Callithrix jacchus: one gene and its partners. The protein of the gene in region 4 interacts with the protein of the main gene of each other region in a pairwise test. Links are inferred from orthologs where the notes say so. Each region holds a gene or a part of one and is shown on either strand. Other genes may lie near its edges.

Region 1 (5,385 bases), on a different chromosome or scaffold from region 4:
GCAAGAGAGTCCTCACCAAAACCTGAACCGGCAAACACCACGATGTGGGATTTCCCAGTCTCCCCAACTGTGGGAAATAAACGTCTCTTGTTTAAGTCACTCAGCATGTAGTGTTTTGTTATAGTTGTCTGAGCAGACTAATACACTGCCATGGCCACCCCACAGTCAGATCTCCCTAGGACAACCTGATGACCAGGTGTACAGGGCTGCAGTCAGGAAGACCTGAGCTGGCATCCTGGCTCTACCAGGTACTGGTTTGTTCATCCCTGGGACATCACTTTTCATTTGTTCACATGTGCCAGGTGCTGGGGTTACAGGGATGAATGAAATAGCACAGCTCTGCTCTCCATGGGCCTCAGTGTCCTTACTGGTACCATGTAATGCATGGAAAAATAAGTGTATTGTCTCTTGAACACTTAAGTGCAGGGACTAGACTGTATGATGTTATGTGCGTCTTGCTGAATCCTAATAATCATCTCCCCTCTATAGTTGTAAGGCACTCAGGCTCTAACTTCTAGAAGCTCCTTGCTAAAGGCAACACAATTAGGAAAGGAACACACTCAGGCTGAAACCCAGGTCTGGGACTCTAGAGCGCCACTGTTGTTACCCTCTGCTTTACACGGCCCCATAAGGCTGCTGTGAACTTACGTGAGCTAATGCAGTGGAAGTTTCTAGTTCAGTGCCCAGCACATAACCCAAGGTCCATGCCTTTGGGAGGCCGAGGTCGGTAGATCACTTGAGCTCAGGAGTTCGAGACCAGCCTGGCCAACGTGGTGAAACCCCATCTCCACTAAAAATACAAAAATTAGCTGGGTGTGGTGGCACGTGCCTGTAATCCCAGCTACTCAGGAGGCCGAGGCAGGAGAACTGCTTGAACCCAGAAGGCAGAGGTTGCAGTGAGCAGAGATCCCACCACTACACTCCAGCCTGGGCAACAGAGTAAGACTCTGTTTCAAAAAACATATATATAAAATAAAAAGGTCAGTGTCTTGGATGTTCTGGGGTCCCAACATGCATTTGTGACACTGCTTGGCAGGTTTGTTGATGCCTTTCTATTGTGTCATTAGGCAAGCACAGACTGTCTCATTTTCCTTATGTATCCACTTCTGGTCCATGCTCAGCAAGGATTGCTTGAATGAACGAATAAGTGAATAACCACCTGTTCCACCACTCCACACCGCTCAACACTCCCCCAACAGCTTGGATAGAACCTCCTGACACGTGGCTGGCCACCGGCTCTACTCTACCTGCAAACCGTGCTGGTGACCCCCTAGCTCCAGCGGGGATAAAGCCCTGGCCCTGCCCACTTACCATGAGGCAGGGTGATGCTGGCTCCATCCAGGATGGCCTGGGCCAGCTCATGGTCATTGGCCTCGGCAGCGTAGGCGGCGGCCTTGAGGGCATCCCAGATCTCCTTTCGACCCTCGAAGGCAGGTGCTGTGTCCCAGAACTCATCCCGTTTGCTCCGCAGCTGCCCGTCAGTCATGGGGTAGTCGCTCTTCCACTTCAGCCGTTCTTTCTTCAGGGGCTCATTGCGTCCTGGGCAGGACAGGAGAGGCTCAGCATCTCTAAAGGCACTTGAGCTGCAACCTGCCCTCCCGCTTCTTCCCCTCCCGGGGCCAAACCCTGAAACCCTGAAACCCTGCTGCTCTGGCTACCAAGTATTCAGGTCTCTGAAGCCCTTCCTAAACAGCAGGGAAGAGTCAGGAAAGCCCACATAACCAACCTGGGGACATCAAATAATTTTGTCAGCAGAGCATATGCTGCTGTTTTTTTTGTTGTTGTTGTTGTTCTCACGGCGCCCGGCTAATAATTTTTAATCATGTAAGAAGGGTGCGGTGGCTCAAACCTGTAATCCCAGCACTTTGGGAGGCAGTAGGATTGCTTGAGCCCCCGAGTTCTAGACCAGCCAAGGCAACATGGCAAAACCCTGTTTCTACAAAGAATTTTTAAAAATTAGCCAGGTGTGGTGGCATGCTCCTGCAGTTCCAGCTACGCGGGAGGCTGAAATGGGAGAGTGACTTGAGCCTGCAAGGTTGAGGCTGCAGAGCCATGATCGCGCGACACTGCACTCCATCCTGGGCAAGAGAGCAAAACCATGTCTCAAAAAAAAATTAACAATTTTAACATCTTTTAAGAAATCATAGCCAACAAACTCACCAAGAAACTCCTGCAGCATCTGACAAAGAAAACAATTCTGTCAAATGTCATTTTTCTTGTTGCCCAGTTTCAAGTGACCTCCAAGAATATTCCAAACCACAGTCAAGACTGAGGGTAGAGATGTCTCTCAAAGGCTTTCGGAGGCTCAGTCATCTCAAAGCTGATGGCAGAGTGAGTCACTGGAGTGAGATGTGAAGCACCCTGCTTCCACTATAACTCAGGTCCTACAGCGAGAGGCAGAACTAATGCTGGAGGCCATCACTAAGCTGCTCCCATTGGCTGGGGCAGAAGAAAGCAAGGAAGAGAATCGTAGGCAGGGACTGAGAAAGAACCCCAGGCAAGCCTGTATTTACATATGTGATCCCATTTCATCCTTGCAGTAGCCTTAGGCAGTAGGTATTATTATTGCTATTTCACAGATGATAGGACAGATTTAGAAAGATTAAATAACTTGCCTCAGGTCACATAGTAAGTGAGTGAGGGTTCCACCTCAGGTCTGACTAAATCCTGTAGTTTGCCATCTGAATTCACAGCTACCTGTAGGGGCAGAAAACTCTAAAGCCAAACATTTAAAGTATTCCCGGGGTGGTGAGGTGGCAGAAGGAAAGGCAAACCCTTTTTGGAGGAAAACAACTTCAGGACCAAGCCTCAAAGAATTCCCAAGATAAGTTCCAAGAAAAATAAGGTAATAGTTTTTTTTTAAAAATCCCAATATGCAAGGAACCAAGGCAATTAGAGCCAGCATTGGCAGACACTGTGGACACAAGAATCAGCTGTGCAAAGACTAGATAGGGAGTTTAACTGACACAGATTATGAAATACTGAGTTAAAGGATGAGAGCCTTAAAAATATGAATAAGGAATAAGAGATTATAAAGAATGACCAAGGAGATTTTTTTTACTGTTTAATTTTTGTGGGTACATAGTAGGTTTAACCAAGAAGATCTTAAAAGAACCATATAGAACTTCTAAAAATGAAAAATATAGGCCGGGCCCAGTGGTTCACACCTGTGATCCCAGCACTCTGGGAGGCTGAGGCAGATGGATCACTTGAGCCAAAGAATTTGAGATCAGCTTGAACAATATGGCAAAAACCTGTCTCTACAAGAAATAAAAAAAATTAGTGGGACATGGTCACATGTGCCTGTAGTCCCAGTTACGTGGGAGGCTGAGGTGGGAGGATCACCTGAGCCCAGAGAGGTTGAGGCTGCAATGAGCCATGATCACACCACTGTACTCCAACTCCAGCCTGGGCGATGGAATGAGACCTTGTCTCAAATAAATAAAAGTAAAGAAAGAAAAAGAAAATGTAATTGAGATTCAGATGTCTTTTTTTTTTTTCAAGAGACAAGGTCTCACTGTGTCACCCAGTCTGGAGTACAGTGGTGCAACCATAGCTCACTGCAGCCTCAAACTCCTGGGCTCAAGGTATTCTCCCCCATCAGCCTCCCAAGTAGTTGGGACTATACAGGTGACACTATACCCAGCTGGGGCTAATATTTTGAACCGAATTTCCAGAAGGATACAATAGGAAGAATGGGAATGAAGCAACATTCAAAGAAATCATGGAGATGCCCATTCCCCCTAAACTGATCTATAAATGTAATACAATTCCAATAGAATTCTTGTCAGCTTTTTCCCAAGGAACCTGGCAAGCCGATTCTAAATTTTATGTAGAAGAACAAAGATGCTCCTAGAGAAGAATAAAGTGAGATAACTTGCACTGCCATGATCAGCACTAATTATAAAGCTACAGTTGGCACAGTACTAGAACAGGGACTGTTGGACCAAAAAAAAGCCAACCCCTGTAAAATATTTGAAGAGATTTATTCTGAGCCAAATGTGAGGACCACGACCTGTGATGCAGTCTCAGGAGGTTCTGAGAACATGAGCCCAAGGTAGTTGGATTAGAGCTTGGTTTGATGTGTTTTAGGGAGACTTAAGATATCAGTCATTAAATGTGAGACATATATTGTGGCGGAAAGGCAGGACAACTTGAAGGGGTGGGGACTTACAAGTCTTAGGTGGATTTAAAGATGTTCTGGTTGGCGATTGGTTGAAAGTGTTATTATCTTAAGTCCTGGAATCAACGGAAAGGAATATCTGGGTTAAGATAAGGAGTTGTGGAGACCAAGGTTCTTATTATGTAGATGAAGTCTAATAGGTGGCCGTCTTTAGAAGTCATGGTTGGCAAATGTTTCCTGTTCAGACCTTTAACAGGTGCTAGATTTTCTTTCTTTTTTTTTTTGAGATGGAGTTTCCCTCTTGTTACCCAGGCTGGAGTGCAATGGCGTGATCTCGGCTCACCATAACCTCCGCCTCCTGGGTTCAGGCAATTCTCCTGCCTCAGCCTCCCAAGTAGCTGGGATTACAGGCACGCGTCACCATGCCCAGCTAATTTTTTGTATTTTTAGTAGAGACAGGGTTTCACCATGTTGACCAGGATGGTCTCGATCTCTTGACCTCGTGATCCACCCGCCTTGGCCTCCCAAAGTGCTGGGAGGTGCTAGATTTTTTAGCTAATCTCCTCTGGATCAAAGTCAGGTTGGAATTTGGTATGTTACTGCTACAGAGCCTACTTTGTCAGTCCTATAATCTCTGCTTTAATTTTTTTTTTTTTTTGAGACAGACTCCCGCTCTTTCGACAGGCTGGAGTGCAATGGTGTGATCTCAGCTCACTGCAACCCCTGCCTCCCGGGTGCAAGGGATTCTCCTGCCTCAGCCTCCTGAGTAGCTGGGACTACAGACATGTACCACCATACCTAGCTAATTTTTGTATTTGTAGAAGACATGAGGTTTCATCATGTTGCCAGGCTGGTTTCAAACTCATGACCTCAGGTGATCCACCCGCCTCAGCTGCCCAAATTGCTGGGATTACAGATGTGAGCCACCATGCCTGGCCTGCTTTAATGTTAATGCTGGTCAGTTGTGCATGAACTCCAAAGGAAGGAAGGTATAATGAGGCATGTCTGACTCCCCTTCCCGTCATGGCCTGAACTTGTCTTTCAGATTTCTTTGGAATCTCCTTGGCTGAGAAGAGAGGTCTATTCAGCTGATTGGAGGACTTAGAATTTTATTTTTGGTATACAAGACAAATGGGCCAACAGAGGAGAACAGAGAATCCAGAAACAGACCCAGGTGTATACAGAAATTTGCTTGCGGTGAGAAGGAACATTCCTGTTGAAGGTGGGAAGGGAAGATGAATTTGTAACAAATGGTGCTGGGA
Region 2 (5,385 bases), on a different chromosome or scaffold from region 4:
CTGATAAAGGGAGATACAGGGGATTAAAAAAATGATGGTATAATAATGAATAGAAATAAATGAAAGGTGGTTATTACACAGATCTGACAAGACAATCTTGAAAAATATTAACTTGAAAAACTAAAGAGAATACTGAGAATATTAATACAGAAATTAAAAAAAAAACAAAAAATATAAATACAAAATTAACACCTAAATCTCAATATGGCATGAAAATTTTTCATGTTTCTGATTAAGGAGATCAAACAAAAGTACATGCATGGAACTAGCATGTGTGCATTCCCAGACACATTCAAAGCTTATGGTTATCCTAAAAACAGTCATATTTCTACACAAAACAGAAAAGTTCCTGATAATGCTCAGGGCTACAATAATGGCAAACTGTCCTTAAAAACATGTGGATCTAACTTCTACATTACTATGCCAAAAATAGGCTTGATGAGAAAGTATAATAACTAAACAGAGCATCCTCGGAGTCTCTACAGCTTATAAAATCTAAACTGAGACTCAATCTCTAGTGATGGTAGAAGGAAACCAGTGAAGTAGAAGCTCCAACAGACTGACAGTGGGATGGGGCTGGTAAAGTAGGGGTGGCAGGGTGGAGAGAAGAGGTCTTCATGGAGAACTAGGTTAAACAGAAACTTTTGAGATGCTCAGAGTTCTTTTCTGAGATTAAGATATATTAAAAAAAAAACAAAACAAAAATACAAACACACCAAGTAAAACCTGTCTCCAGCTGAAAGATGTATAAGAAAAAAAGAGGAATGCTATTCCTTGCTACATTAAAAAAAAAAAAAGTTAGAATAATTTATAGCAAGGAAAAACTCTCCCATTTGTTTTCTTGCTATAAGAAACAAAGCTGATTATGTTCCCTCTGTCCTTGAGGAACACCAAACCTACCATGTGGTAATGTTATGTTTGCACCATCAATGATTGCTTGTGCCAGTTCATGATCATTGCTCTCAAAAGCATGTGCAGCAGCCTTCAAGGCATCCCAAATCTCTTTTCGGCCTTCAAAAGCTGGTGCAGTATCCCAAAATTCATCCCTCTTGCTGCGCAGTTGTCCATCTGTCATAGGATAATCGCTTTTCCATTTTGGTTTCTCCTTTTTCAAAGGCTGGTTACGACCTAGAGCAACTGAGAAGAAAAATAAAAGACTGAGATCAAAACCAAAACTTATAAAGTATATATCACAAGTTATCTGGTCATTCCCTCTTTTGGATTATTTCATCAAAATGACAGCCAGAAATTTGCCTGCTAGCTAATGTGTGCATTCTAAAATTCCTCTTAACATATTCTGGAACTACAAAAGTGAACAGAGACATTAGATGGCTCTGTGCAAAACAAATTGGTAGCTCTTTTCCACCCAGTACACCCTCTCTACAGGATCATTACAAAGAATTACAGGCTGAGGTGGAAGAATAGCTTGAATCCAGGAGTTCAAGGCTAGCATGGGCAACATCGTGAGACTCCCCCCATCTCTACAAAAACCACAAAAATTAGCCTGGCATGTTGGCATGTGCCTGTGGTCCCAGCTACTCAGGAGGCTGAGGTGGGAAGTTTACTTGAGCCTGGGAGGTTGTGTTTGCAGCGAGCCACGATCACACCACTGCACTCCAGCCTGGACGAGAGACCCCATCTCACACAATACAAAACAAAAACACCCAGAGAATTATAGTTGTAATGAATGTACCACTTTGGTGGAGGATGTTGATAATCGGAGAAAGGAGGCTATGTATGTGTGGGCACAGGGAGTACATGGGAAATCTCTGTACCTTCCTCTTAATTCTGTTATGAACCTAAAACTGCTCTAAAAAAATAAATATTTTTAAAAATACAATAAAAGTTTTGTTTCGTTCATTTTAAAAGAACTGCCGAGAAGGTAGGTGTTTCTTCAGACTGTAATAGCAGGATACGAGAGTCAAGAGACACCATACAAGAGAGGCAAGATACACTGGGAAAGCCAAATGGCAACTGCAGCTTAGACACATGAAACCAGGAATTAGGAACTGAGAAAATCCAAAGAGGCAAAAGACTGCTTTTTAGTGTCCAGAGAAAGAAAAGCCAAACAACCAGAATCATGAACAAACAGATTACAGGAATACTTCCTCTAGCATTCTCCTCTCTGGACTTTACTCAAGGAACTGTAAATACCTTTCTCTGTAACTCAAACAGGAACTAATTTACAAAGGGTAGAATCAGCACTTTACTTTTTTTGAGGAACTGGGAATAAAAGAGATAATCCTTGATTCTAGGCCAAGGGATTAGCTCCCAACCACAAGGAACAGAACTACAATATCCTACCCTAGTTTCAACCCAAAAGAAGAAGAAAACAGAGGCAAGTGCAGCATCTCCCCTTAGAGAATGTTATGTCGTCGTCGTCATTGTAGTAGTAGTAGAACAAGTCTGATACAACATCCTTGCATCCACATACCTACCTGGTGTATTATCTGTGATCTATTTTCACAGGTCATACTGACCTACAGAGCTATTCTTATTTATGGCTCTGTAGGATTATACAGTGCTATAGATAGGAAATAGTTTGATAGATGGGATAGAAGATAAAAAGAAAATTGAAGCTGGATGAAAAGAGAAGAGTGTTGGAAAAGAGTGGGTGGGAAATAAAATGACAGAGCAGGTGGGAAGGAGAGAGGGTATGTGTCAAAATTCAATGTTCTATATTTAATTGCAGAAAGAATACCAATTTTAAAGAAACCACTCTCAAACTGGTTCTAAAGCATCCATGAAATTGACAATTCTCTCATTGGCCCAGGGCCAAATGAAATTTGGGCTATGCAAAACAGAAAATAAAATGACTCCAGACCCTGGGCTATCTGTACTCTCCAGGTCTTATCTCTCAGATAAGACCAACAAAGACTGCCAAGGCAAGTCTCTTCTGTCCTCTCCCCTTCAGGGTGGCATACCATATTACCACCAGCTGTTTTCCACTTAAAACGCTCAGCATTAACTCAAATACTTTTTGCCTTCTAACTTGTCCTAGTGAAATGCAAAACAGGTGAGTTCTAAACGGGTGGGAAAACAGAGTAGGAAACCCATCCTTTAAAGTAGTAGAGCTGGAAACCAAATCCAAGTCTCCTTACTTAATCAACAAATATGTACTGAGTGTCTATTATATTTAATTCAAATGTGAGAAACACAGTCTATACTAATGATTTTTTCTCTGCTTCTTCCAAATAATACAGATTATGCAGCTAGAGCATAATTCCCTAAAAGATGTTCAGAATGTGTCTGATAACCACAACCTACCGATTGCACCAGTACAATGGAATGCAAGGTAGCCTTTATTTTCTGCTACATTATTGTTTAGATAAGTTAGAGACAGTTTACGGACAACACTCAGCTTACTGACCAGGAGGAGGAGGAAGATGGCACAGTAAGTATGCAGACTCAGTAAGATTCTATCTAAATGAAATTTTGGGTCTACCTGAATATTTCTTTTTTCTTTTTTTCCTACCTGTTTCTACAGAATTATCTGATCTCATATGTACTAAATCCATGAGAGATAACTTAGTATAATTTTTCCTGTCATTCTGAGAGAATCACAAAGCACGGGCAAAAACAATAAAACCTCTACAATCTCAGGACCTAAAACTAAAGCAAATGAAAGTAAGAGGCCCTTGAAAAGAGGAACCTAACAGAAAAACAATCATAATATGTGTACAAAGTACCCTGGAAAAATTGTAAAACACCTTCCTTACAAATGTGAAGTAGGTTCATTTCATCTCTTTCCATTTGGCAGAGAACAAAGTCCCACAAAAAGAATAGATGATGCATTTATGTTGCTTAAGGAAAATAATTCCAAATGCATTTGCTATCTATCTATCTATCTATCTATCTATCTATCATCTATCTATCATCTATCTATCTATCTATCTATCTATCTATCTATCTATCTATCTATCTATCTGAGACAGAGTCTTGCTCTGTCACCCAGGCTGGAGTGCACTGGCATGACTGGGCTCACTGCAACCTCTGCCTCCTGGGTTTATGCGATTCTCCTGCTTCAGTCTCCTGAGTAGTTGAGACTACAAGCATGGGCCACCACACTCAGCTAATTTTGTGTGTGTGTTTTTAGTAGAGACAGGGTTTCACCATGTTGGTCAGGCTGGTCTCAAACTCTGGACCTCAGGTGATCCTTCTGCTCAGCCTCCCAAATTGCTGGGTTTACAGCACCATGACAGGCCCCAAATGCATTTTCAAATCTACATGCTGTCAAAAGCTTCACAGTAATTATTCTGCAAAAGACAAAAATAAATGCTTGTGACATGAAGGAAGATTACTTTTGTCTATTTCTGCCTGTATTATAAACATACATAATATAGAGTATCTGTCTATATAATACCCATTGTTAAAATGATTAAATCTTTGGAACATAATTACTTTAGTGAAACCCCAGAGCAGTGTAGAATTTTCACTATAAAATCGGAGGTTTCAAGTTTCATATTAAACTAAATGACTAACTTTTGTTAAATAAATAATTGGGAAAAATACTAGCATTTAGCAAAAGCATTTGAACTATCCTCTCATGAAAACATGAAAATATTTAGGGTTAAGAGGACTTAAGTTCATATTCATAAAAGCACTCATAATGAGTGATATACAATAAAACAGCAAACAAGGGTTTACTTAATAAGTAAAAACGAACTTGGAGGCACTGCATGAATATCTTTAAGCCCCTTGACAAAAATATACAGGCTGTCTTTTTTCTTTTCATAATTTCCAAATCCCTTCCTTAAATGTTAAAGAACTGTCCTATGACTGCCATGCACTTTCTGTGCCTTTATCAGAGTACACTTTCTTGGCATTTGTTCACCAAATCTTACCCTTTGATTTCAGGTGTTATCACAAACCTGTATTTCTGAAAATGCAGTACTTGGACATAGTTATCAGCCTGGCAGCTAAGTACCTCATGTTTGTACCAAGCTAAACATTTTTATAAGACATGGAATATAAATACTAAACTAAATTTCATTTTATGCTCTTAAACTAACAGTTTTATCTGTTTCACACATTTTCTCACTGCTGATACCATAAGAGAGATGCTTGGTATCATTCATAGTACACAGGACTAGATACCATGCTCTAACAGTGAAGAATTTTAACAGTGAAGAATTAAAAGACAGAAAACATCTTTTATTCCCCAAATTTCTGTTTCTCTATCCTTAAATGGTAGGCAACAACCATCTTTAGTTTTCTATGGATTAGCATATGAGAAATAAAAAATTAATAAAGCTACTTAATTTAAAAAAAAACACAATCTATTTCAGAAAATATCCTTTCCCCCATCAATCCACATTTACCACTTCTTTCAAAATGTGTCCAAAAGTCATCTTCTTCTCAGAAGCCTCTTAATCATATTTACCC
Region 3 (5,385 bases), on a different chromosome or scaffold from region 4:
GAAATATGATCTTGACTTGCACTGTAAGAGCAATCTTGGGCCGGGCGTGGTGGCTCAAGCCTGTAATCCCAGCACTTTGGGAGGCCGAGGAGGGTGGATCACGAGGTCAACAGATCGAGACCATCCTGGTCAACAAGGTGAAACCCCATCTCTACTAAAAATACAAAAATTAGCTGTGTATGGTGGTGTATGCCTGTAGTCCCAACTACTCGGGAGGCTGAGGCAGGAAAATTGCCTGAACCCAGGAGGCAGAGGTTGCGGTGAGCTGAGATCATGCCATTGCACTCCAGTCTGGGTAACAACAGCGAAACGCCATCTCAAAAAAAAAAAAAAAAAATCTTACAGGCAGATAGATCCAAACATGTTTCCATAAAACTCCCATGGAACTAACATTTAGTATTCATAGAATAAATCACTTCCTAAGTAAGAGGCAAAATTTTAGCCATACCATTTGCTACTAAAGAAAATTTTCAACTAGAAATAGTTAAATCTCCCAAAGTCCCCTAAAAGATCAGAAGATCCCTCCTGCTATTTACTTACATTCCAGCTGGGGTTTTCCATTGTTCTAGGCACCTGTGAAATTCTAGCCATGAACAGAGAAGTCCTTGAGGTCCAACATAATAACATATTGTTATTTACCTTTCATTATGAATTATGACTTTTCAACAAGACTGAAAAGCAAGAATCACCCCTTACACTTCCCATTGAGCATAGGGCATTGAGCCTAGTACTCAGGGCACAGAGCAGAGATTTAACAATTGAGTGTTTCAGACTGGGGTCTGAGGACTTCTGGCCCAGTGAAAATGTGGCCTGGTTGGCTACTGAAAATTCTTCCCCGCAGACTCACCTGAAAAAGACTGAAGGCATATTCTTGGTCCATTTCCACATTCATTAGGTGCAGTAACCGCTGAACTTCTTGGAAAGTCATCTTACCATCCTGATTTTTGTCTCCACGCTGAAACCAGTCACTCAGCCATCCAGGTCTGAGTCAAGGCAAAAGCACTAATATATGTGTTTGTGTGTGCAGTTGTGTGTGCACGTTCATCCACTGATATCTCTCCCGTCTTTCCTGCCAGTTTCTCCCCAGTGCCAATCCATTCTCCACACAGCTTCTAGAATAACCTCTCCAGAGCACCAATCTGTCTTGTCACTGTATGACTCAGGCACCTGCAGGGACCTCCCTGTTGCCTGCAGAAAGAAATCCATATTCTGGCCAGGCACAATGGCTCACGCCTGAAAACCCAGCACTGTGGAATACCAAGGTGGGTGGATCACCTGAGATCAGGAGTTTCAAGATCAGCCTGGCCAACATGGCGAAATCCCATCCATACTAAAAATACAAAAAATTAGCTGGGTATGGTGGCACACACCTGTTGTAGTCCAGCTGCTAGGGAGGCTGAGACATAAGAATTGCTTGAACCAGGGAGGCAGAGGTTGCATGGAGCAGAGATTGCGCCACTGCATTCCAGCCTGGGTGATGGAGTGAGATTCTGTCTCAAAAAAAAAATTCCTTTGAATATCTGCAGTAATCTAAGTACCATAATACTTCTACGGCACTTAAATTATTTACACAGGCTGGGCACAGAGGCTCATGCCTATAATCTCAGCACTTTGGGAGGCTAAGGAGGATCATTTGAACCCAGGAGTTCGAGACCAGTCTTTGCAATATTGTAAGACCCTGTTTCTATTTAAAAATATATATATTATTATTATTATTTTGTTTTTGAGATGGAATCTCACTCTGTCCTCCAGGCTAGAGTGAAGTGGCAGGATCTCAGCTCACTGTAACGTCTGCCTCCCAGGTTTAAGCAATTCTCCTCCCTCAGCCTCCCAAGTAGCTGGGATTACACGTGTGCACCACCACATCCAGCTAATTTGGGTTTTGTTTGTCTGTTTTTTTGAGACGAAGTCTCACCCTGTTGCCCAAGCTGGAGTGCAGTGGTGTGATCTTGGCATACTGCAACCTCCACCTCCTGAGTTCAAGCAATTCTACTGCCTCAGCCTCCTGAGAAGCTGGGATTACACCATGCCAGACTAATTTTTGTATTTTCAGTAGAGATGGGGTTTCACTATGTTGGCCAGGCTGGTCTTGAACTCCTGACCTCGTGATCTGCCCGCCTTGGCCTCCCAAAGTGCTGGGATTGCAGGAGTGAGCTACCGCACCTGGCTAATTTTGGTATTTTTTTTTTTAGTAGAGATGGGGTTTCACCATGTTGGGCAGGCTGGTTTCAAACTCCTCACCTCAAGTGATCTGCCTGCCTTGGCCTCCCAAAGTGCTGGGATTACAGGTGTGAGTCACTGTGCCTGGCCAAAAAAAATTATTTACACAATTCCATCCTCTTCACTAACTGAAGCAATATATGAGTCTCCTTAATCACTGTACCCCTATAGTCTGGCATAGTGCCTGATACATTCTGGTTAACAGGTGGTGAATGAATGAATAAATGAATGAAATGGCATACAATCTAGGACACTTGAAGTGAGTCTGTATCACTGAGCCTTCTAAGGGGTTGTTTCCCACCTATATGCTATTTAATGTCACTGTGATCTTCTGTGCAGCTCTTAGGAGCAGCATCTTATTTGCTCCTCTGCCTCTCACTGTCTCTTCCTCCAATCCTGGGGGTCTTGACTCATGCCTGGCTTTGTCATCCCTGGCTTCCATTCCTCCCTCAGTAGTCTCAGTCTCACATTGGCCTGAGCTGTCCCCGCCCATACCATCTAGACCCTTGGGCCTCCCTAGTCCTGCACCCCTTCTCACCTTTCCTAGACCTATTGCATCTGGCTCCTTCAGGGATAGAGTGATCCCCCACCCCCAACACTGACTCCATCCTGCCGATACTGGTCCAGGCGCTCCTGATGGTCCATGCTGGTGACAAGATCCACCAATAGCTGGAGCCCTCGCATCCATATCTGGGCCTCCTCAACACTGTTGGCCACCAGGTCCAGGTTGGAGGCACGGCCATGGAAGACAACGGTGAAGCCCTGCTCCAGGGGGAGGTCCTCTGCCAGGCTACGCAGCAACTCAGAATCATGCCCGTTACGTATTGTATCCACGTCAGAGATTGAAACTGCCAGAGAAGAAGCAGGTGGAGGCATTGAGGAAGGGAGTCAAGCAAATAGCAGGGGCTAAGGGTGAAAGACCAGCACCCCCTTCTCCCTAACACTATAGAAAGGAACCCCAGCCTCTGCAGGCTGAATCCCAAAAAGCATTAGTACAGAGATGCCCCAGGGATTCAGGAGTCCACATGAATCACTGATGTTTTCAAAGGCAGCACAGCAAAGAGCCTGTGCTGGAAGTGGCAAGACATGGCTTCTAGCCACAAGCTGGCAGTATGACATAAACCAAAATGACTTAACTACTCAGTGTCCTCATCTGAAATAATGGATAGTCCCCTTCCATAGGCAGCCCCAATGGTGATCACAGGAGGACTGGTGTGGATGACAAATGGAAACACATTTGAAAGGCAGAAGCAGTTCTACTAAAGCATTATATGCCCAAGTCCAGTTCTCCCCTTCCAGGTTTGAGAGCTTCCTCTTCCCAGATGCCTACGAGGGAACCAGAGAAATTCTTTCACCCCCTTACCTCAGCTGGGGGTGATACGGATTGTGGGCAATTTAATTATGTCTCTAAAACAGACTCTCTTAGATGCGTCCTGTGATCCAATTATGTCCTGTCATCATAAAGAGTTTGGTCAATAAGTGCACACTGTTATGATTTTTTACGTTTTGTTTTCTGAGACAGAATTTCCCTCTTGTCACCCAGGCTGGAGTGCAATGGCACAATCTCAGCTCACTGCAACCTCTGCCTCCTGGGTTCAGGTGAGTCTCCTGCCTCAGCCTTCTGAGTAGCTGACACTACAGGTGCCCGCCACCACACCCGGCTAATTTTTGTATTTTTAGTAGAGACGGGGTTTCACCATGTTGGCCAGGCAGGTCTCAAACTCCTGACCTCAGGTGATCCACCCGCCTTGGCCTCCCAAACTGCTGGGATTATAGGTGTGAGCCACCACACTCGGCCACATTTTTTATATTTAAAAATATTTATCATAATGGCTAACATTTATTAAATACATCCTGGTTTTACATCCCATACTAAGTCTTTTACACATTAACTCATTGAGTCCTTGTAACCTACTAAGCAGGTACCGTTTAATCCCCATTTTACAGATGAGGAAACTAAAGCTTGATTTATGTATGTATGTATGTCTGTATGTATTTTTTTAGAGACAGGGTCTTGCTCCCCAGGCAGGAGTGCAGTGGTGTGATCACAGCTCACTGCAGTCTCATCCTCCTGGGCTCAAGGGATCCTCCCATCTTAGCCTCCCAAATAGCTGAGACCACAGGCATACAGCACCACACCCAGCTAATTTTTTATTTTTATTTTTTGTCGAGACAGGGTCTCCCTATGCTGTCCAGGTTGGTCTTGAACTTCTGGTCTCAAGCAATCCTCTTGCCTCAACCTTTCAAATTGCTGGGATTACAGGCATTGAGCCATCATGCCCAGCCATGGTTTAACTACTTGATTTGTCCAAAGCTACTCAGAAAGTGGCAGAGCTAGGGCTTTCATTTAGGCAGGCTGATGTCTGAGATCATGGTCTTATTATAATAACAACAAGATATAACCAATGATTTATTACATCTTACTATGTACAGGACTCTTTTTTTTTTTGGAGATGAAGTTTCACTCTTGTTTCCCAGGCTGGAGTGCAATGGCGCAATCTTGGCTCACCGCAACCTCTGCCTCCCAGGTTCAAGTGATTCTCTTGCCTCAGCCTCTCGAGTAGCTGGGATTACTGGATGCACCACCACGCCCAGCTAATTTTGTATTTTTAGTAGAGATGGGGTTTCTCCATGTTAGTCAGGCTGGTCTCGAACGCCCAACCTCGGAAAATTGCCCGCCTCGGCCTCCCAAAGTACTGGGATTACAGGCATGAGCCACCGCACCCGGCCCTACCAGGACTTTTCTAAACCCTTTATATACAATAACTAATTTAATCCTCATACCAGCCTTATGAGGCAAGTACTGTTATGATCTCCTTTTACAGGCTCAGATCCAGCCAGTTAGGACAGCACAAACACACACACACTATTGTAGGACTTTGGTCCCTCCCCTGCCCTCAGGCTGCTGGGCTCCTCAAGACCCTATCCACCCATGTACCCACCCCCTGCTATCTAGGTAACTCACAGCTAGGCTTGGCACTGCCCCTGGCCTGTCGTGCATGCCAGACTGTCATGCCGTCATTCTGAAGTCTGAAGTATCTCAGCTTCTTCCAGCTTTTGGACCTCACCTTGCGCATCAGCATGCCTTCCTGCATTAGCAGCAAGTCCTGATCGGTGGTCAGCCCTAGGTCAGGAAAAGCATGGGCTAGGTAGCCAGCAGAGAGG
Region 4 (5,385 bases):
TCCAAATTAGTTTAGTTTGGTTTGGCATGCATCACTTTTACCTTTTATGACAACATATGTACCCTATAAGTTGTTTATTTTGGCCTAACATGAAAATCATTTACATTCTCTGAAAAGGGAAATGGCAAAGGGTGAGGGATGGCAACAAACAAGCAAAAGCCTGGCTTTTGTTAACACCAGTTCCAGGACAGATGCACACAGGCCAAAGAAAGTTGCCTATTTGGCCATTCCCTATACATCACCCTCTTCTACCCTGCCCTTAGGGTGAGGAAGACTCTATTACCTTTCTTCCTTTCTGGCTTGGATACCTTGGCCAGGTAACAAGGCTGACAATTTGGGAGTAGCTACTTCATAACATTCTTTACGGCCAGGGCTTTGGATACAAACCTTTCTCTTTCCTCTAATACCTGACTCTCCTTTCCAATTTCTCTTGGGAAAACTGTGAAAGGATAGATATGTCTTGCAGGATCTCTTCTACCTTGGCTCTGGAGAGGAGCAAGGTGACTGACTTCTTGGTGTAAAGAGGCAGGCAATCAGCCAACTCTGCTGAAGGCTGAGGCAGGGACCTGGGTTCTCCTCTGCTTTCTTTTCAGCCTCTCCTTTCCACATTCCTACCTCTGGCCAATACTACCCATAATGGCAATCTTACCCTTGGAATGGAAGACCAAAAAACCTCCTTCCCCTTTGTTAATCTCTAGGAACTTGTTCCTTTACCCACTTCCCTGATCTTCTAACCTTGTTGATGTCCAACCTCTGCCCTCAGAAAAACTCTTCAACGTTGAGACCCATGAGAGCATCTGTCATTCATCTTTCTTTAATTTAGAGGTACAGACTCCTGTGATCTACCTCAAGAAGCAAGACTATCCTGGGTCAAAGAACCCCCTAAAAGATGTGCAGGGGTTTCTGTTTCCTCCTCTGGTTTGAGAAAGTCAGACCCTCACAGATTTTTTTTTGTTTGTTTCTGGAAAAGCCTCTCCTTCCTTCCCAACCCTTCCTTGTGCAACAGAAAACCTGATGGACTTCAGGGCAGATAATCCTCTGGGAACCAGCTCCTTGCCCTGACAGGAGGGAGACACAGCTGTGCTCTCTCATCCAGCCCAGTCCTACCTCTCCCTCCACCCAAAACCATCCTAGAAACTGAGGTGTTTCTCCAAGATGATTCGGGACTGGAACCAGGTGGACACGAAGACGTTCCAGCAGGACACAGGAAGGAGGCCCGTAGCACTTGACCCTGCCTCACCCCAGTTATTCCCACATCCCAACCTGTCACTCCCAATCTGTTGGGGGTCTGATGGTAAGTGGTGCAGCATTCTTCCGTCCAGCCCGGATGCCCGGGTAGAAGAGGGGCCAAAGTTTCTCAGTAAAAGTATCAGTGAAAGTGTAGATATGAGAGCGGTCTGTGACATTGTAGAAAGACAGTGTGCCGGCCTCATAGTCTAGGAATATGCCTACCCGCTTGGGTTTCACCTTGATGTGCAAAGGGGTAAAAGGTGTGGTGGTGGCTGCGTATTTGTCCCCATTCCATAGCCGCACCCGCCAGTAACCAGTCTCAGGGAGTGGAGTCAACTCGCCCTTTCGGCTCACAGAGTCCCGGCACACACCCACTGCCCAGTGGGTTTTGTCGCCCACCTCCACCTCCCAGTAGTGTCGACCTGAGGTGAAACCCTCAGTAGCCAGGACGCAAGGGTAGAAGGTGAAACGCCTTGGTGTATCAGGAAGATCCCGGAGTCTTGTCTCCACGAACTTGACACTCTTACGATCCTCCGACAGGACTAGGTTAGGATGAGCCGTCTCAGGATCCAGGGTCACATCCGCTGGCGGGAGAAGCCAGAGTGGGGAGCTAGATGAGGATGGGAATAGCTAAACGCCCCTGCCTCACTCTTCCAGCCTGCCTTACAGAGCCTGGTCCCTTAAAGGTCCCCAGAACAACACGGTTTGGTTAACTTTCTCAATCCATGGTGTCACCTAAGGCAGGGGAGAAAGCAATGGCTCATTTCTCACACTGACCCTGAAGTAAACATAATCTCTTGACTCTGCAGGGGCTGGTAATCTAGGTTCCCGCCTGGTCTTCTCTTCATCTCCCTCTGACATCATCATTTATTTTACTATGTAGACAAGTACAAGGTACAGCCTGAGAGCCAGAGAAAATGGAAAGTGTTAAGAAGAATGCAGAGCAAGACAGCGTATGGCCTAGGGATAGAGTGACCATGTGTCTATTTTCTGAGAACTGGCCTCGTTTATGACTTTATGACTATTTTTCCCTGCATATTAACATTAATATAATGATACTCCCTTTCACTTTACTTTTTTTTGAGATGGAGTCTCGCTCTGTCCCCCAGGCTGGAGTGCAGTGCCACAATCTCAGCTCACTGCAACCTCCACTTCCTGGGTTCAAGCAGTTCTCCTGCTTCAGCCTCCAGAGTAGCTGGGATTACAGGTGCGTGCCACCACACCTGGCTAGTTTTTGTATTTTTAGTAGAGATGGGGTTTCATCAAGTTGGCCAGGCTGATCTTGAACTCCTGACCTCAGGTAATCCTCCATCCTTGGCCTCCCAAAGTGCTATGATTACAGGTGTGAGCCACCCAGCCTTTCAAGGTTATGCAAGTTTACATGGTAAATTATATAATCACTCTACCCGGTGACTTTGGCAAATTATTTAACCTTTCTGGGTCCCTATAGACAAGTATTGACCTAAGAGTAGACAACACTTAAGGCTTCCTCTCACTCCAAGTTCTGTAACTCAGGGTGACAGTAAAAGCCAGGTAAAGGGGTAGGTGTGGGTGGGAGTAAGAAAAGTGAGAGATGGGATAACTCAAACCCATATAAGGTAAGACCTAAAAGCTTTCTTCTCTCTAGTGTTTCCTTCTAGTTTCCTTTTGGTAACAACTCACCAATTAGCTGTTTAAGGATTTTCCTTAGGGCAAAGTACTGTCGGGGGAAATTGCTGAAGTTCTTTTCCAGCTCTATGGATACTGAAGTCACCTCCATGGTCTTCACCTTCTCACATCTAGGAAGGATAGGGAGACAGGGAAGAAAGGGTGGAGTCAGGGGGAAGCTCCAGCCAAGTGACTATTCAGATGTTAACATCTTTAGGGAGTAAATGAAATTCTCTATCTTCCCTCTTTCTTCCTCCTCCATGAAGAGCTCACCTTTTGCTTTCTTTTAGTAATCCAAGGAGAGCCTTATGATCTTGTGGACAGATCCTAATTTTGAGAGTGAGCCTCAGAACTTTCTAAAAATATTCCTATATTTCATGCAAATGGTTGACTGTCCTTCATGCTCTCTGAACTCCTTCTTCCTGCCATCTTGTTTGGACACAGTTCCACCCACTGGCACAGTAGAATCTGGTTCTGCCTATCATTCTCCTTCTCAAGGAGTCCTGACGTTTACAGGGGAAAAGGGATTATTATTCTCAATAATTTGTTCTCTACCTGGCTTCATGGGGTCAATGAACCTTCTCCCATACCCTGCCCAGATGCTACATGACTTTCCCAATCTAATCCCTGACCCAAACTCCTGACTGTACCCCTCCTCTCTAAGCCAAGACCTAACTCACTCAAAGAGATATAACAATCACTTACTTTTCCAGGGTACTTTTGACATCCTAGAAGGAAGGAGAAAAGAAAGCAATATTGGTCCTGGTAGTCAACGGTCCTGAATGCAAAAGGTTCCCTTTCCTCCCCAAAGTTCCACAGCTACAAAATAGGCGTAGGATAAACTGAGGGTCACACAATGCAAGAAGAGCTCCAGAGGGACCTGAATGTACTTCTTTCAACCTAATCCCTACTTTCAATTTTTGGTCATCATGAAACCTGGTCATTTATATCACTTCCCAATTATTTCTTTTATGTTTGTCTTTGCTCTTCAAGGGTGCTGGGAGCTCCCTACAAGAATCAGGGATTGTGTCAGTCTTTACTCTGTCCCCCAAGTACCAACCACATATCTCAGTCTCCTTGAGGATCAGTACAGAGAGTTCCGGACTGGTGGCATAGGAACAAATCACACATTCCTGTTACCATTTGGCATCCCTTGTCTTGCATTAGTTAATAAACATTATTAGCTGGTCAGGCACAGTAGCTCATGCCTGTAATCCCAGCACTCTGGTAGACCAAGGCAGGTAGATCACTTGAGATCAGCAGTTCAAGACCAGCCTGGCCAACATGGTGAAACCCCATCTCTACTAAAAACACAAAAATTAGCCGGGCATGGCAGTGTGCACCTGTAATCCCAGCTACTTGGGAGGCTGAGGCAGGAAAATCGCTTGAACCCGGGAGGTAAAGGTTGCAGTGAGCCAAGATCATGCCACTGCACTCTAGCCTGGGCAACAGAGCAAGATTCCATCTCAAAAAAAAAAAAGAAACAATAAACATTAATAACTGAGGGCTAATACTGATTTGTGAATACTTGGGGTCCAGAAGACAAAGAAGACAAATCTCTGTCCCACAGGATTTCCCAGTTTAATGTGGAAAGCAGAACACACATACATGAAAGGACACAGGAATAAATACCAAGCAATACATAACATAAATGTACAATGAAGCCTCACTGATTGAAATGCTGGTAATCTAATCTCTAAGATTAAAAAATATGTTCCCTACAGTTTTGCTAACATCATTCATTTACTTAAGAGAACAAACTATTTCAAACACTTTAGAGGTATTATTAATATTTACATATCAAAAGCAAATTATTATTTATACATAATTTCAGGCTCCCTCATTTTATTGCACTTTGCTTTACTGTGTTTTGTTGACACTGTGTGTTTTTCAACTGGAAGGTTGGTGGCAACCTGTGTCGAGCAAGTCTACTGGCACCGTTTTTTCCAACAGCATGTGTTCACTTCATGTCTCTGTAACATTTTGATAATTCTCACAATATTTCACACTTTTTCATGATTATATCTAGTATGAGTTGTGATCAGTGATCTTTGATGTTACTACTGTAATTGTTTTGGGGAACTTACATGAACTGCATTCATATAAGATGAAAAACTTAATCGATAAGTATGTTAAATATTTTATGTATTCTAACTGATCCACTACCAGCCATTCCCTTATCTTTCTCCATCTCCTCTGGCCTCCCTATTCCCTGAGACATAACAATATTAAAATTACACCAATTAGGCTGGGCGTGGTGGCTCATGCCTGTAATCCCAGCACTTTGGGAGGCCGAGGCAGGTGGATCACGAGGTCAAGAGATTGAGACCATCCTGGTCAACATGGTGAAACCCCGTCTCTACTAAAAATACAAAAAATTAGCTGGGCACGGTGGTGCGTGCCTGTAATCCCAGCTACTCAGGAGGCTGAGGCAGGAGAATTGCCTGAACCCGGGAGGCGGAGGTTGTGGTGAGCCGAGATCGCGCCATTGCACTCCAGCCTGGGTAA

What was found. The genes of interacting proteins can lie anywhere in the genome.
Region 1: the proteins of TRIM39 (region 4) and UBTD1 interact in binary tests that used the Homo sapiens proteins (3 or more experiments, as listed by UniProt). The two-hybrid records come from large-scale screens. The link is inferred for Callithrix jacchus from reciprocal best matches to the Homo sapiens genes TRIM39 and UBTD1.
Region 2: the proteins of TRIM39 (region 4) and UBTD2 interact in a two-hybrid assay, tested with the Homo sapiens proteins (2 studies listed by BioGRID and IntAct). The link is inferred for Callithrix jacchus from reciprocal best matches to the Homo sapiens genes TRIM39 and UBTD2.
Region 3: the proteins of TRIM39 (region 4) and PLCD4 interact in a two-hybrid assay, tested with the Homo sapiens proteins (2 studies listed by BioGRID and IntAct). The two-hybrid records come from large-scale screens. The link is inferred for Callithrix jacchus from reciprocal best matches to the Homo sapiens genes TRIM39 and PLCD4.

What each region holds. Positions count from the first base shown.
Region 1 is NC_133513.1:90,375,236-90,380,620, reverse strand, and holds part of UBTD1 (ubiquitin domain-containing protein 1), read right to left. Parts: intron 1,540-5,385; coding exon 1,312-1,539; intron 1-1,311. UniProt on the Homo sapiens protein: May be involved in the regulation of cellular senescence through a positive feedback loop with TP53. Is a TP53 downstream target gene that increases the stability of TP53 protein by promoting the ubiquitination and degradation of MDM2.
Region 2 is NC_133503.1:64,591,763-64,597,147, forward strand, and holds part of UBTD2 (ubiquitin domain-containing protein 2), read right to left. Parts: intron 1,138-5,385; coding exon 901-1,137; intron 1-900.
Region 3 is NC_133507.1:140,352,148-140,357,532, reverse strand, and holds part of PLCD4 (1-phosphatidylinositol 4,5-bisphosphate phosphodiesterase delta-4), read right to left. Parts: intron 5,345-5,385; coding exon 5,186-5,344; intron 3,547-5,185; exon of another isoform or gene 3,401-3,546; coding exon of another isoform or gene 3,358-3,400; intron 3,069-3,357; coding exon 2,840-3,068; intron 978-2,839; coding exon 848-977; intron 1-847. UniProt on the Homo sapiens protein: Hydrolyzes the phosphatidylinositol 4,5-bisphosphate (PIP2) to generate 2 second messenger molecules diacylglycerol (DAG) and inositol 1,4,5-trisphosphate (IP3).
Region 4 is NC_133505.1:35,066,013-35,071,397, reverse strand, and holds part of TRIM39 (E3 ubiquitin-protein ligase TRIM39), read right to left. Parts: intron 3,606-5,385; coding exon 3,583-3,605; intron 3,009-3,582; coding exon 2,893-3,008; intron 1,815-2,892; coding exon 1,267-1,814; 3' UTR 1-1,266.